Drosophila melanogaster: one gene and its partner. The protein of the gene in region 1 interacts with the protein of each later gene in a pairwise test. Each region holds a gene or a part of one and is shown on either strand. Other genes may lie near its edges. The genes, in order: Csp and Ptp99A.

Region 1 (7,857 bases):
TTTATTCTTGAAACGTCTTAAGGTCTAACGCGGATCTGGAGCGACATTTGTTTGCTATGCAAGGAAAGGATGTGGTGAATTGAGAAGTGCAAGACCAACTCACGCGGAAATACTTTTGCGGCACAAACACACAATTTTGTATATGTAGGAAGTCGGAGCTCAAGCTCTGCTATTAAAAATAAACATTTAATTAAACTAACATTAAAATCGTCTGTCTAAAGAGTAAACAGCCTCGTTTGAAAGCTGGAGTCCGGTTACCGTCACTTCTTCTCCTCCTCCTCCGCCTCCTCCTCCTCCTCCTCGTCCTCCTCGTTGAACTCGGTTCGCATCTGTTGCAGCGCTCTAAGCTGCTGGCACAGCTGGTTGCCGAACGACTCGACGTAGCGGGGGCTGATCTTGTCCAGCAGCGCGTACGGCGTTTCAAATATCTCCTCCTCCTCGTCGTCGCCTTGCTCTTGTCCGTTGCGAAGCAGTGCAGAGATCCGGCTGTCCTCGTCTATGGTGTCGTACTGGGAGGAGACGATCTTGAAGCCACGACTGCTCACCTGAACGCAGCAAGTGGCGCTCTCGATAGTCCGGATGTTCAGGTAAATTTGCGTGGCATCGCTTGCCAGTTTGGATGAGATGCAAATCTCAGCGACGTGAGCCTTAACATCGTTAATTATGGCGTTGGCTTCGTCCTCGCAGTTGAAGGCCTGCTCCTCCCCAGGGTCTGCGGTGGCTTTCGGTTCGCCCATCCTAACAGAATCGCTTCGGAGCTCTGCGGCTCGCCTTTTAATTGAATCCCAGTCGATCTGATTCCCTTTTACAGGCGCAACATGTCGTTCCACTCTACTCCATATGTGTCACAGCAGCTGTGTGGCGTGTGCCACGCGTTAGTACATTTTGACCGATGAAGCGGAGCAGGGCGTTCCGGCCAAACTGAATATAATCGTTATTAATGATTTTACATGCAATTTAGCTTAGTTTTTGGTTTAATAGAAGTTCGTAAGACGTACCGATATAAAACGGTTGCTGTCGTATCGAAAGTATAAATTACTCCTAAATAATTGAAATTGGAATGGAGGGGTGCATAGTATAGATTATGGATTAAGTCCAAAATTTGTATATAGCCTCTTTTTTACATTCTTTTTACAAAACTGTAAATAATTTTAATTTAATTAAATAATTTAAAAAAAAACGAAATAGACAATTTTTTTTATTTTATTATTAGTTCTTAATATATGCTTCCCTTATTTAACTTTGTAATTGTATAATTAAAAAACTTAATTTAATTTTTAAATAAAAAAATATTAATAAAAAAATATTCTGCGAAATGGGTTGCATCAAAAAAAAAAAAACACGTGCACGACCTTTTCCTTGGGTGTTCCCTTTCACCCTTCATTTCTTAGACAATCTCGCTTCCGCCCATACAAATTTTATGCATACAGAAAATGACCTGCGGCCGATCGTTGCTTGTGAGTCGCTCACCAGAAAAGGTTATTGCGCTCGTAATAAAAAACTGTCGGATATTTTTTATTCCCGCAAGTAGAGTGTCAAAAAACACCCGGCTGCCTAGATACAACAGTGTTTAGCGGGTGCACTTGGAGTGCCAGTGGCTTGCTGCAGTTCTCTGGTGCACACTTTCGATGCGATTTCTTACAGTGAGTCCCGTAACAGCAGCTATTAATGTTGCGATAGATGGCGTGTTAGTCCAGAGCTGGAAATCATTGATGTCGGCAGGTAAACCGATAAGATAGAACATCGGTTCAGTTCCATCTCTAATTTCGTTGCGAAAAAAATAAGAATCGAGGCATCGGTACGGACGTCAAAAACTGCAATTATAAGAGTACACGCACAGATTGTGGTTCTTGGCAGGCACAGACTTTCACTGCGTGTGACAGCGATCGCTAGTGCAAGTTACCCGTTCGCAGTCAAAGTGACACAGGCATCAGGATGAGCGCACCTGGCATGGACAAGAGAAAACTGTCGTAAGTATTTTGTAGTGCTCCTTCATTTTTCCTCCACGGCGCACACACACGCGCCGTCGGCAGAGTACACACACTCAGCCCGTGCGCGAGTGTGAGTAGCAGCTGCGCGCAGGCAGCGCGGTCGGCGCGAAATTGATTTTTCGCGGCAGAAGTTTTCTCGAGCCAGCAGGCACTTTCCTTTCCACGTCGGGATAAACAAGGAACCGGGTCAGGGGTAATAATGGGCTCCGGTAGTGGGAAGGGGAGGGCAGCTGCGGCTGGAGTTTGATTTCGGACAAGCGAATTCGTCCTGGGCAAGGCCAAGGACAAATTTGGCCATTTGACGGAATTCGATTTTTATTTGATTTCAATAATCGTTAGTTAAAATCTTAGTGGCATAGTTTCAACTTATGTTGCATTAGGCAGGAAAATGTAAAAGGTAGAAAAAAGGCTACGCACATCATCGATCAAGACTCGAGCCGATATCATTCAGATATGTGCTATGTAATACATACAGACCATTATTAGAATTACACATTATAACTACACAGTATGAGAATTTCCTCTTCCTTTCTCCTCTTCCTCTTGCATTCTTCTCGGTTGGCCACACCTCTTTTGCCCGCAAATCGCACGATTTCAATTGTTTAATAGAGAAAAAATGAGTCGAATACTTCATTTTATAAATATTGTTCTATTTAAATTGTTCAATGTTTGGGTCTTCGTGCAACACATACCGATTCCGGCATAAGTGCGCGATAACAACAGACCTACAGATCCAATAACACGACAACCAACTAACTAACCAGCCTGGCCGTTATCGGACAGAAAGTTTTACGGCCGCGTTAGCCGTCTCTATAATTGTACCCTATATGAGTAATGCCAGCACTAACCGCTTCAGTTTGGCCCAGGCGAATTCGAGTTGGCTTAGATTGTCATGATGCCTGCCAATGTCCTTGGCCCTGTGCAGTCGCCCACCGCCCAGTGTCCCTGGGGCACGCATCCGCTTGAGCCTGTAATCACCCTCATCATCGTGGTCCTCAACCACTTTGTCGAGCGCTCGCCGCCTTATCAGCTCGCAGATTCTCAGAGCGGGTTTAGGCATACACAGCGTTGCACCCCAACCCCCTTAACTTACCAAGTTTATAAATAGCACCCACCTGCTCAAGAAAATCCATACAGATTGCAATTTATGTTGCACGCGACCCTGCTGCAGAGCCAACAATGCCAGTTGCTTTCGAACTGGACGCCCTCAATGCCAACGCCTAGTCCGTGGGTGCAGGCAAGCCCTGAGGGCCAAGTGCTCGCCCGGATGAGCTCCCATCGCGTGCCACGGCTAACTGTTGCTGCGGTGAGTCATAGTCCAATACTACTTGCGATGGCTGGGCCTTATCGCCCTCTGTCAGAATGTAACATACGCAGCTGAAGGAATGTCGGAGGCACAGTGCAACTGCGCTAGGCAGGTCCACGCAGTGGTTCCTGAGGTCTTACCTGTGCGTGGTTATCAACCTTTAATTCCAAATGCGGAGACGTGGATAGTAATCCTACGCAATACAGAGACCATGTTCACTTGATTTTCATTTATTTAGGACATCTGGCGACTCGCTTTACGAGATCTTAGGACTTCCGAAGACAGCCACCGGAGATGATATTAAAAAGACTTACCGGAAACTCGCACTCAAATACCATCCCGATAAGAACCCGGACAATGTGGATGCGGCTGATAAGGTAAAATATTTCCGAGAAATGGGTCCATGCGTATTAATATATTAATATAATATATAATATAAATATATTAATATATTTGCAGTTCAAGGAAGTCAACCGGGCCCACTCGATATTGAGCGACCAGACGAAGCGCAACATATACGACAACTACGGCTCTTTGGGCTTGTACATAGCCGAGCAGTTTGGCGAGGAGAATGTCAACGCATACTTCGTGGTCACTTCACCGGCTGTAAAGGTCAGGAATCGCGGTATTTCGCATGCCTAGGCACATTAATTAATCTCTGATTCTCCTTGCAGGCGGTGGTTATCTGCTGTGCCGTGATCACTGGATGCTGTTGTTGCTGCTGCTGCTGCTGCTGTTGCAACTTCTGCTGCGGCAAGTTCAAGCCGCCGGTCAACGAGTCGCACGATCAGTATTCACATCTGAATGTGAGTGAAGTTACTTGGCTTAGCCAAGTCCAAATATAATACCCGCCCCAACACAGCCCGCCAATAACTGAAATCATTTTGATTTAGTTAAGAAAAGAGAAAACAAGAAAACCAATCCGGTGCAAAGCTAAAACATTAACTTTAACGCATGCTTCCCATCCACCCACACACTGTACTATTACGAACCTAACAAACCAACTTTGATGATTTTTGTGGGGAGATCTGTATCATTTTTCCTTCTGAGAAGCTAATGTTTAGTCAAAAACGAGCCCCTACATCTGACATCAACGCTTACTTAACAGCTGCCCGAACAATAAACGCCTAACCATTTTTTAGTATAATTTTCCTGGGTTATCAGCTATCTTGGCACACCATCTCCCTCGATTGGTTTTCCCTTACTCACACTACTCCGTACAAACACTACTCTGATTGCACTGCTTTGTAATTAGTTTATTTTGGGTAAGTATGAAGTTTGGTTTTGGTTTCCGATTATCAATTCTCCAGACACTGAAGTAATCAGAATACTGATTTTTGAGACCAGAGGTAAACACGACTAACCCTAAAACTTTTCCGATCCATCGAACAATTTTTGTATAATTTATTGTTAGTGTTTGTTTTGTATATATGTACTTCACGAAAATCATCAAATGCTTCCAACGTTTCTCTCTCCATAAAAAAAATAATAAATAACGTCAACACATACACGCTCGGATTTCTCGAGACAGACAGTGCAACGATTATTGTTTTTTCCACGATTGCTTTTCTTGTTTTTTAAGTGTCCCATTGCGCATACAAATTTATTTTGAAACCACCCAGATTAGAAGTCTTCTTCCTTTGCTAGTTTGCAAGCTAAGGAACAGAAGCTATAGACTTACGTTTCTATTTTTGGTTAACTTCTTTTTTTTTCTCAAAAATCTTTGCGATCGACTCATCATATCCACCACCTACTACCACCCACAACCACCACACATTCGCTCTCGACCTCGCCGTCAGCGCCCCGATGGCAATCGGGAGGGCAACGATATGCCAACGCATCTGGGACAGCCGCCACGCCTTGTAAGTATGCAAATCGAAAATAATACCAGCACGAGTACCGCATGAAAAAGGTGCAAGATCACCTGCGGCCTGCCTACCGCCTCCACCTGGCTCAAGGCACCCACCCACCCACCACCCAAATAACACAAAGCCAATAACCAAATCCGAACTCTACTTAAACGGTAACCAATCGAAATTTATATGTTCCAAGGGAACACGTCTTACTAAGCTAACATTCAGTCGCAAAACTAACTTGATCGAGAGAACAGAGGAAGAGATGACAAAATAAAAAAACGTCGTTTTTTTGAAAGTACTGCTGTAAATACTTGGTAAATGTTTTATGATTTTCTTTCAATGCTGTCATCTGGCTGATTTTAATTTTGTAGTATTTGGCTTGAAGGGTCCTTCTATCCATCAGCACAAGAGTAATGTAGTGGTCGTAACTAAACCGTAGAATAGTGTACATACATGGCTTGTAGGCAGCCCACCGAAAGTTTTTGACTAAACATTGGTTAAGGGACCTTCCCTCCAAGCTCTCAAAACTTGCTGCAGAAACTAAAATACCGGCAGAAATCCTAATCCCACTCTTTTGTGTCCCGCAGGAGGACGTTGACCTAGACGACGTTAACTTGGGTGCGGGCGGAGCCCCCGTTACCTCACAGCCGCGGGAACAGGCCGGAGGACAGCCTGTTTTCGCCATGCCGCCGCCCAGTGGAGCCGTGGGAGTAAACCCCTTCACCGGCGCCCCTGTAGCAGCTAACGAGAATACGTCGCTAAACACAACGGAGCAGACCACTTACACGCCAGGTATATAAGCAATTGGTCCAGAAGTCAACCACACAGCCAGCCTCCGCTAGTTTGGCAATCCGACAAAGCGTCTTTGACCATCGAACTTGTTATTGTGCATATATCGAACAAATATTGTTTCCTTCGGTCGCTGGATAGGTGGCGAAGGCATTCAGTCACCAGTCGACATACCCCGTCCAGCGATCAGATCAACACCCCCTTAGCAGTAAGCTCGTGTATCCGGCAAGGTATTTTTTAGTCACTTTCTGTACATGTCCACGCGAATATGGGATCCATTTACTTAGATCTGCATGCTGAATTACATTACCACACACTGCCCGAGCTGCAGGATGACCAATGAATAGATTGATTGACTCAGCCTTTCGTTCCTTAGGTCTGCGCCAGCCGTACTCAAGTCCCCCATTTTAAAGACCTCCTTTCAAGATTGTTTTCCAAGCTTTCGCAAATTAAATGAAATGAAAATTTTAATTTCCATCCAAGACATATTCAAAGAATGTAGCTTAAGTTTGACGGATTTTAGTTTTATCGTTTCTTATGCAACGCGTACATTTTGATTTCTTTTCACTTATCACTGTCTACTTCTCTCTCCCCCTCTCTTCACTCTAGATATGGTTAATCAAAAATATTAGTCAAGTGCTGCGAGCGAGTCAAGACCCGGGTGCTTGCGTACACCACACATTCAGATACAGACACAGAAAACACAAGCCCCTAAATCGTAACAGAAGAGAAAACCAGATTTATTTCATAATTATTAGTGTTGTTTTTAAAATGCGCGATATGTTGAAGCGAGTAAACATAGAAACCAATGTATTTATTTTAAGCCGTAGCACTTAGCTCTAATTTTAAACTATCGAACTTCGTGGCCGCCCTCCGGTCAGTCAGGTTGATTTTGGTCCACTTCGGGCAATCGATTCACCAATTCCATTGTTCAAGCCATGCATCTAGCCTTGCAGCTGTACCACTATACAACTCGAATCGATAGCCAAGCCGCGAAGCCACCATCTCCACCTATCCAGTCATGCTAATCACCAAAACACCATTCGGTGTTGATGAAATTGTATATCGGAAGTTTGTCTAGACATTTGCTTGGGGATCGGATCCCTTGCGGCTTAGCCCGTGAGTTGGGATTCAGTCGCGAAGAGAGGCACTGTAATTATATATATGTATATGATATGTGTATCTAGTTTGTGGCATTTGTGTCGTCGCTTAGTCTAGCTAATTTGTTCTCGAGATCTCCTCTTCACCGATTGTTTCTGTTATTTTGCACTAAATTGTTAAAGCCAGAACTACTTATGTAAAAAGGATGAATTGTCGAGCGACGCGCCCAGCAGATTGCTCCGATCCGATTCTAATGCAAATGTAAATACGAGTTAAACAATTAAGCATCACACAGTTAAACAGAGGAGGACGAAGAAGAGGACACTTTGAAGGGCGATCCAATTAACGCAAATATAAATTATATAACAGATATTAATAATCCCCTCTATATATAAAACAATTAAATACGAGTAATCAAAAGTTGAATTGTAACCCCCGAAAGTATTGCACATATTTATGTATTCCAAATTGTTTCAAAATTGAATTGAATCTAATTAATTTTTGTTTGATTGTTAACCCGCTTTTAAATGTAAATGAATGCGATTAGTCCAGCAGTAATTAACTTTTATATTGTAGTATCCCATTCTAAATCATTGACATCAATTATTGCCGATCAGCTCCGGGCCAGGATAAAAGTCCTTGGGCGCCTGGGTCTAGGGCCGGGATCCGAGAGTCGCCGGCTCATCTATAGTATAAACACGCATACATATATAAAATTCAATTATTAATAATTACATTTTACGGTCTTGCGTGTGTATTTATTGTTCGTACAAGTCAAAGCAAAAATACTAAGTAAACTAAATTTAAACTTAAC
Region 2 (4,931 bases), on another chromosome or scaffold:
CTCTCCTTATGGCCATTAAATTGTGGGCAATTGACCGGTTCGAGGGGTGTGGACATCGTTTAGGGGCAGGTGCCTGAGGCACTGGGATAATTGCGGAAGTAACACGCTGATCGGCACAACAAATTATTGCGATGGACTGGCAGTTTTGTCAGATGGCAAATTTAATGCGAAAGAAATCGTGTTCTATGTTCAATTAAATTGACGGTAAATAATACCATTAGAATATATTTAGTTGAAAGATAAAAGATATCTTTTAAAGGACTTTAAATTAAGAAAAAACTAACAAGGCTGTAGGACTATGTAATCCAAACAGTTATTTTACAGACCATGTTATAAATAACATGCCCATGTAATGTTCGCATTAACAGAACATTCAATTCGAATATCTTGTTAACGTTGTTCGAAAATTAAAAGTAGAAAAAGTCTGTAATGTAAACATAACATAGACCAACACAATTTCTCCTTCAACTGCAGGTTCACATCATTTGATTAACCCCGAATGTTATTTATTCCATAGCTATAGGCGTCCTTTTTGCGAATGTTATTAGCAGAATGGTTCGCTTTCTACCCCTTTCCAAATTTAGGACAATAACATTGCACTAACATTCTAGAGTAGACCTCTGTTCCCTAGCCTGTTCAACGCGTTAACAGAACGTTGACTCAGTTCGAATGTAGACCAACAAACTCATGAAAACAACATTCGCGCAGGACCAAGGGGTGATTTTCGAAAATGTTACGGAAACCTTCTTTTGCGGTGGAATTTTCTGTAAACACTCGGTTACAGGACAAGGCAAAAACAACAATTTACTGATTCAGTATTCAGTATTCAGGGGTTATGATTTTGGTCGAAATCTTTTCCAGACATTACAGCGGTTGAAGAGTTCTAACATTACTACAAATGTACTACCAATGTTAAGCATTTTTACTGTTCAAATAACTGGCAACAGTAAAAACGTCCACTGATTGTGAATAACTCCAAAATGTAATGTTATGATTTATTTTATAAGAAATTTAAATCAATAAATTATTATAAATATTTTTCGAATATTGAATATAATCGAAATAAGCGGATTATAAGATTTGGAAAATTAATTGAAGCTTAGCTCCTTTATAAGAGACTTTATATAACATATTATTTAAATTTAAAATTAGTTTTCATCCAAAGAGCTGCTATGTGTGGCCGAAGCTAACTGCGGTCCGTCCAGGACCTCTTTGTAGTGCCTTAGAAATTCCTAAAACACTTGCTGCCAACGTTTCAGTTCTGTTTGTGCCGCAACGCTCGACACCTGAGCGATTTGAGCAGGTCGTGGCCGCCGAAGAGCGCGTCTCTTATCAGTGATAAGGCCAGCGCAATTCGGAGTTTGGTCATGGTGAGTTTCGGAGTTGAAAGTGGAACAAGCGCTCTCCCAATGAGAGAGCGTGAGTCCGTTCGCTCTCGGCAGGACGACAGCCGAGGCGTCCACCCGCGCACAAATCTAGGCAACAGCACACACTGAAGCTCGCAAAGAAGTTCGGGAGACACACACGGTGTGTGTGGTGGAAAGCCGCTGGAAACCCGAAGTCGGCCACGAACCACCGACCTTCTATTCTGGAGGGGTTTTCCGGGGGATGCGGCGGTGGTGCAACGGCAGTGGCAGCGGCAACGGCGGCTTCTGCCTTTCAGCTGGGAATTTATTTGCGCAAAAACGAAGCGGCTCAGTTTCGTGTTTGTTGTGCGCTCGTAAGGATGTGTCCGCTGGCGCTGCCGGACTTCGTGCGTTCGCGTCGCGTGTGTGCGCGTTTATCCTGACGCTGAATGTATCTCAGCCAAAGCGGCCGAAACGGGCCACGAAAAGTGCTTGAAAATCAGGCGAATAGCTCAAGTGAATGCCAGAATAATAATCATGCATATTGATAAAGCGTTGAGAGAAAATCAAAAATAAAATGCGGCAATCGCTGTCCAGTTCCGTGTTAAGTTTTTATTTGTGTTCGTGTGCTTGGATTCGGAAAGCAGGATCCCAATTACCGACGATCTCGAGGATAAACCACTAACTGATAGAAGGTCCTGCGTTGCGGAAAATAAAACACAGCAAAAAGGTGGTTATCCCCAGATTTGGTGACCCACAAGCATAACTAAACGATTCGAAATCGAGGCAACTGGATGAGAACTGGGTGAAAATTCCAAACTCGTCGTCGTACTGCAGCATATTTAGCATTTTGCATTTTGGGGCGGACTTTTGGATTTATGTTGACCCACTTCGCTAAGCGATTTCCCTTTCAATTTGCGTCTTGAAGCGATGTTTTAGCCAACTTATCCCTCGACCATCTCAGTTAATTAGTTTAATTAGTGAGTGTCGTGGGCCCATCGTTGGTTGGTTAGTCGGTCTGTTCTGGCCCAAAAATCGGTTTGGCATCTCGAGCCAAAATTAAGAACCTTTCTGGCGCAAAGTTTTATTTGAAACTGCTGACCCGGGATTCGGTCGGTCATGCCCTGCCGCTAATAGCCGACATTATTGTTAGGATTCGCTGGTAGTGGGAGTTGGGACTTTTCGGGACTGGACCAAACAAAGGGCCATCGGATCGACTGTATGTGCCATTGAACAAACACCAAGCCAAAACGAGTGAAACCCTTTTTGCGCCACTTTTCCTAATGCCACGACTGCCATTTGTTGGGGCAATAAAAGCCAGCCAGCCAGCGACTTCAGTAAAGATGAAATGAAAATGAAATAAAATAAACAACAATGGCTGGGCAAAATTAAACTAAATTTATTTGCTTTGCCACTAAATTTGCGCTGATTTCGGCAGCAGCTTCACTTCACTTCACTCTCGCATTATGTTGCCCCACTCAAAAAATGTGTTTGTCAACAAAGCCAGCGGAGCGCAAAAATGGTCCTTGGTCCTTGGTCGAATCCCCTTGCACCAAAAAGAAAAAAAATCGAGAGTGTTTGTGCTTAACCTTTTGGTGGAGCCGGATTTCTGGCTCGACTGGTGTGGCACACGTTCAACTATTTTGGAATTTGCGGCACGTGCCCAAATTGCAAACATCAGCAAATAATAATATAAATTCAGCCAGCAGTTCGGGCATCCAAACCGAATTAGTCGAGTGTCCTTTTTACAGTAGTGCTTACAAGATGATTAGGCGTGTGGCTGGCATGTGATACATTTAGCTGCTCGTCGTATAATAATTTCATTGTTGCAGCTCTGCAATTTATAATGCGGCAACAATTGCAGTCGCACTTGCAGCAAAGGCGTGCAACTTGTTGTCGCTGGATGCAAGCCCACCCCTTTGTGGCAACACTTGAGCCGCACAGCCACTGCAGTTGCACTTAAGCTTCCACCGCTGCAGTTGTTATTTCTATTTCTATTCTCTCTCTACTTTTGCACACCCATCGTGAGCCGCCGTCTGGCATTATAATCCGCATCTATGTGAGTCGGTGCAAGTGTATACAGAAGCAAGTGCGCGATGTTGTGACCAGTTTTTTTTTTTTGCAGGAAATATACATCTTGATTGTTGAAGTTGAAGCTGACTCGATCTATGTGTTCGAAGTTTGAGTCCTGCAAGGACTTCGGCGACACCTCTGGCCGTGCTAATTAACCAAGTTCCAGCATTTCCATTTAGCTGACTGCTTTTCTTTCATGTCAAAGCATTTAATTATACTCCTACATTTACCCGCTCCCTCTCGTTTCCCGCTTTCCCCACGCTTTTCACTTTTTTCCACCTTTTTTTTTTACTGCTGGACTTTGCCTGATTTATTTATGCATTTACCTTTGCGAGTTGCCCGTGGAGGAAGCTGCTGTCATGCTGCTGGTTCGTTGTCTTAATTCATTTTTTATTCCAACGTAAATAAGCTGTAAATTACAACTTCTGTTGCTCTGCTGTTTCCAGCTGATGTTGCTGTTTTTGCCGCTGCTCCCTGAATATTTTGTATGATTCTACTCCGGCAATTCCCGGGCTGCTTGTTGCCTGCCTCGTGCTGCATGCTGGAAGCCGCATGCCCCGTGTCCCGTGCCTCATGCCAAATGCAGTGCCATATTTTTTCACTCTTCACTGACGCCCCGTCCCTTTTTTTTTTGCATACACAGAGAAAACGGAGTCAGAGCAGCATCTATTTTAATTGTAAATCACAAGCTTTTAGTCATTCAAACAATAAATCAAATATTTTACAATGAACAAAAGAATAAATAATTAGAGGTAATAAGCTGCATATTAGGATGTTGATCTATACAGTTGGGCAATACCAATTATATTTTTATAAATTATCTTTTATAATTCATAATATTCTTATGCATTTTATTATTTTTCCCAATGTGCATAAATCATTGCGAAAGCGGGAAATGGATGTGCATGTGAAGTGGAAACATAATGGCTTTCCTGTTGCTAAAAAAAAGGACATAAACGAGTGATAAAATATGAAAGTTTTATGAGCAATTGTGAACGGCTGATACACTTTAGACACATATCTGTGTAGCATTGATCAATTTGCGTTGCATACTCGTGTTTTCTCGCTGTGCTGGAAGTCACATCCCGCTGCTTTTTGCTGCTGTTTAATTTAAAGTTTGCCACCCAAAAAGGGGAGCAGCATTGCAGTTGGTGGTGGGAATGTGGGGCTGTCATAACTGCAAATCGGCTACTGACATCCAGCTACTTAACGCTCCTCACTGCCTTCCGCTCGCCGTTTGCGTTTGTGTTTGTGTTTGGGGCATGGGGCATGGGGCATGGGGCATGGGCATTCGGGCATGAAAGCGGCTCGGAACTGTCTGCGGACCCAAAGGGGACAACTGCCACTACTACTTCTAATGGTCAAAAAGAACGGGCTGGGCGACGATGGCGCTGCACTGCGTTTGGAATTATGTGGAAAATTGAGAAAATGTTGCTCAACAACACAAGTACAAGCAGAAGTAGAAAGTAGAAGTTCCGAGGCACTTTAATTGCCATCGGGCACATTGCGCCA

The links.
Region 2: the proteins of Csp (region 1) and Ptp99A interact in a two-hybrid assay, tested with the Drosophila melanogaster proteins (one study listed by BioGRID).

Annotation. Positions count from the first base shown.
Region 1 is NT_037436.4:22,265,818-22,273,674, forward strand, and holds Csp (cysteine string protein), read left to right. Parts: upstream 1-1,564; 5' UTR 1,565-1,935; coding exon 1,936-1,970; intron 1,971-3,535; coding exon 3,536-3,674; intron 3,675-3,756; coding exon 3,757-3,909; intron 3,910-3,971; coding exon 3,972-4,103; intron 4,104-4,114; exon of another isoform or gene 4,115-4,403; intron 4,404-5,096; coding exon 5,097-5,159; intron 5,160-5,740; coding exon 5,741-5,945; coding exon of another isoform or gene 5,946-5,953; exon of another isoform or gene 5,954-6,551; coding exon 6,552-6,574; 3' UTR 6,575-7,481; downstream 7,482-7,857. Other genes in the region: Ddx1 (Dead-box-1), read left to right, coding at 1-28; CG11523 (uncharacterized protein), read right to left, coding at 261-737. UniProt on the Drosophila melanogaster protein: May have an important role in presynaptic function.
Region 2 is NT_033777.3:29,375,949-29,380,879, forward strand, and holds the start of Ptp99A (protein tyrosine phosphatase 99A), read left to right. Parts: upstream 1-1,697; 5' UTR 1,698-2,076; intron 2,077-4,931. UniProt on the Drosophila melanogaster protein: May play a key role in signal transduction and growth control. May have a role in the establishment of the intersegmental and segmental nerves.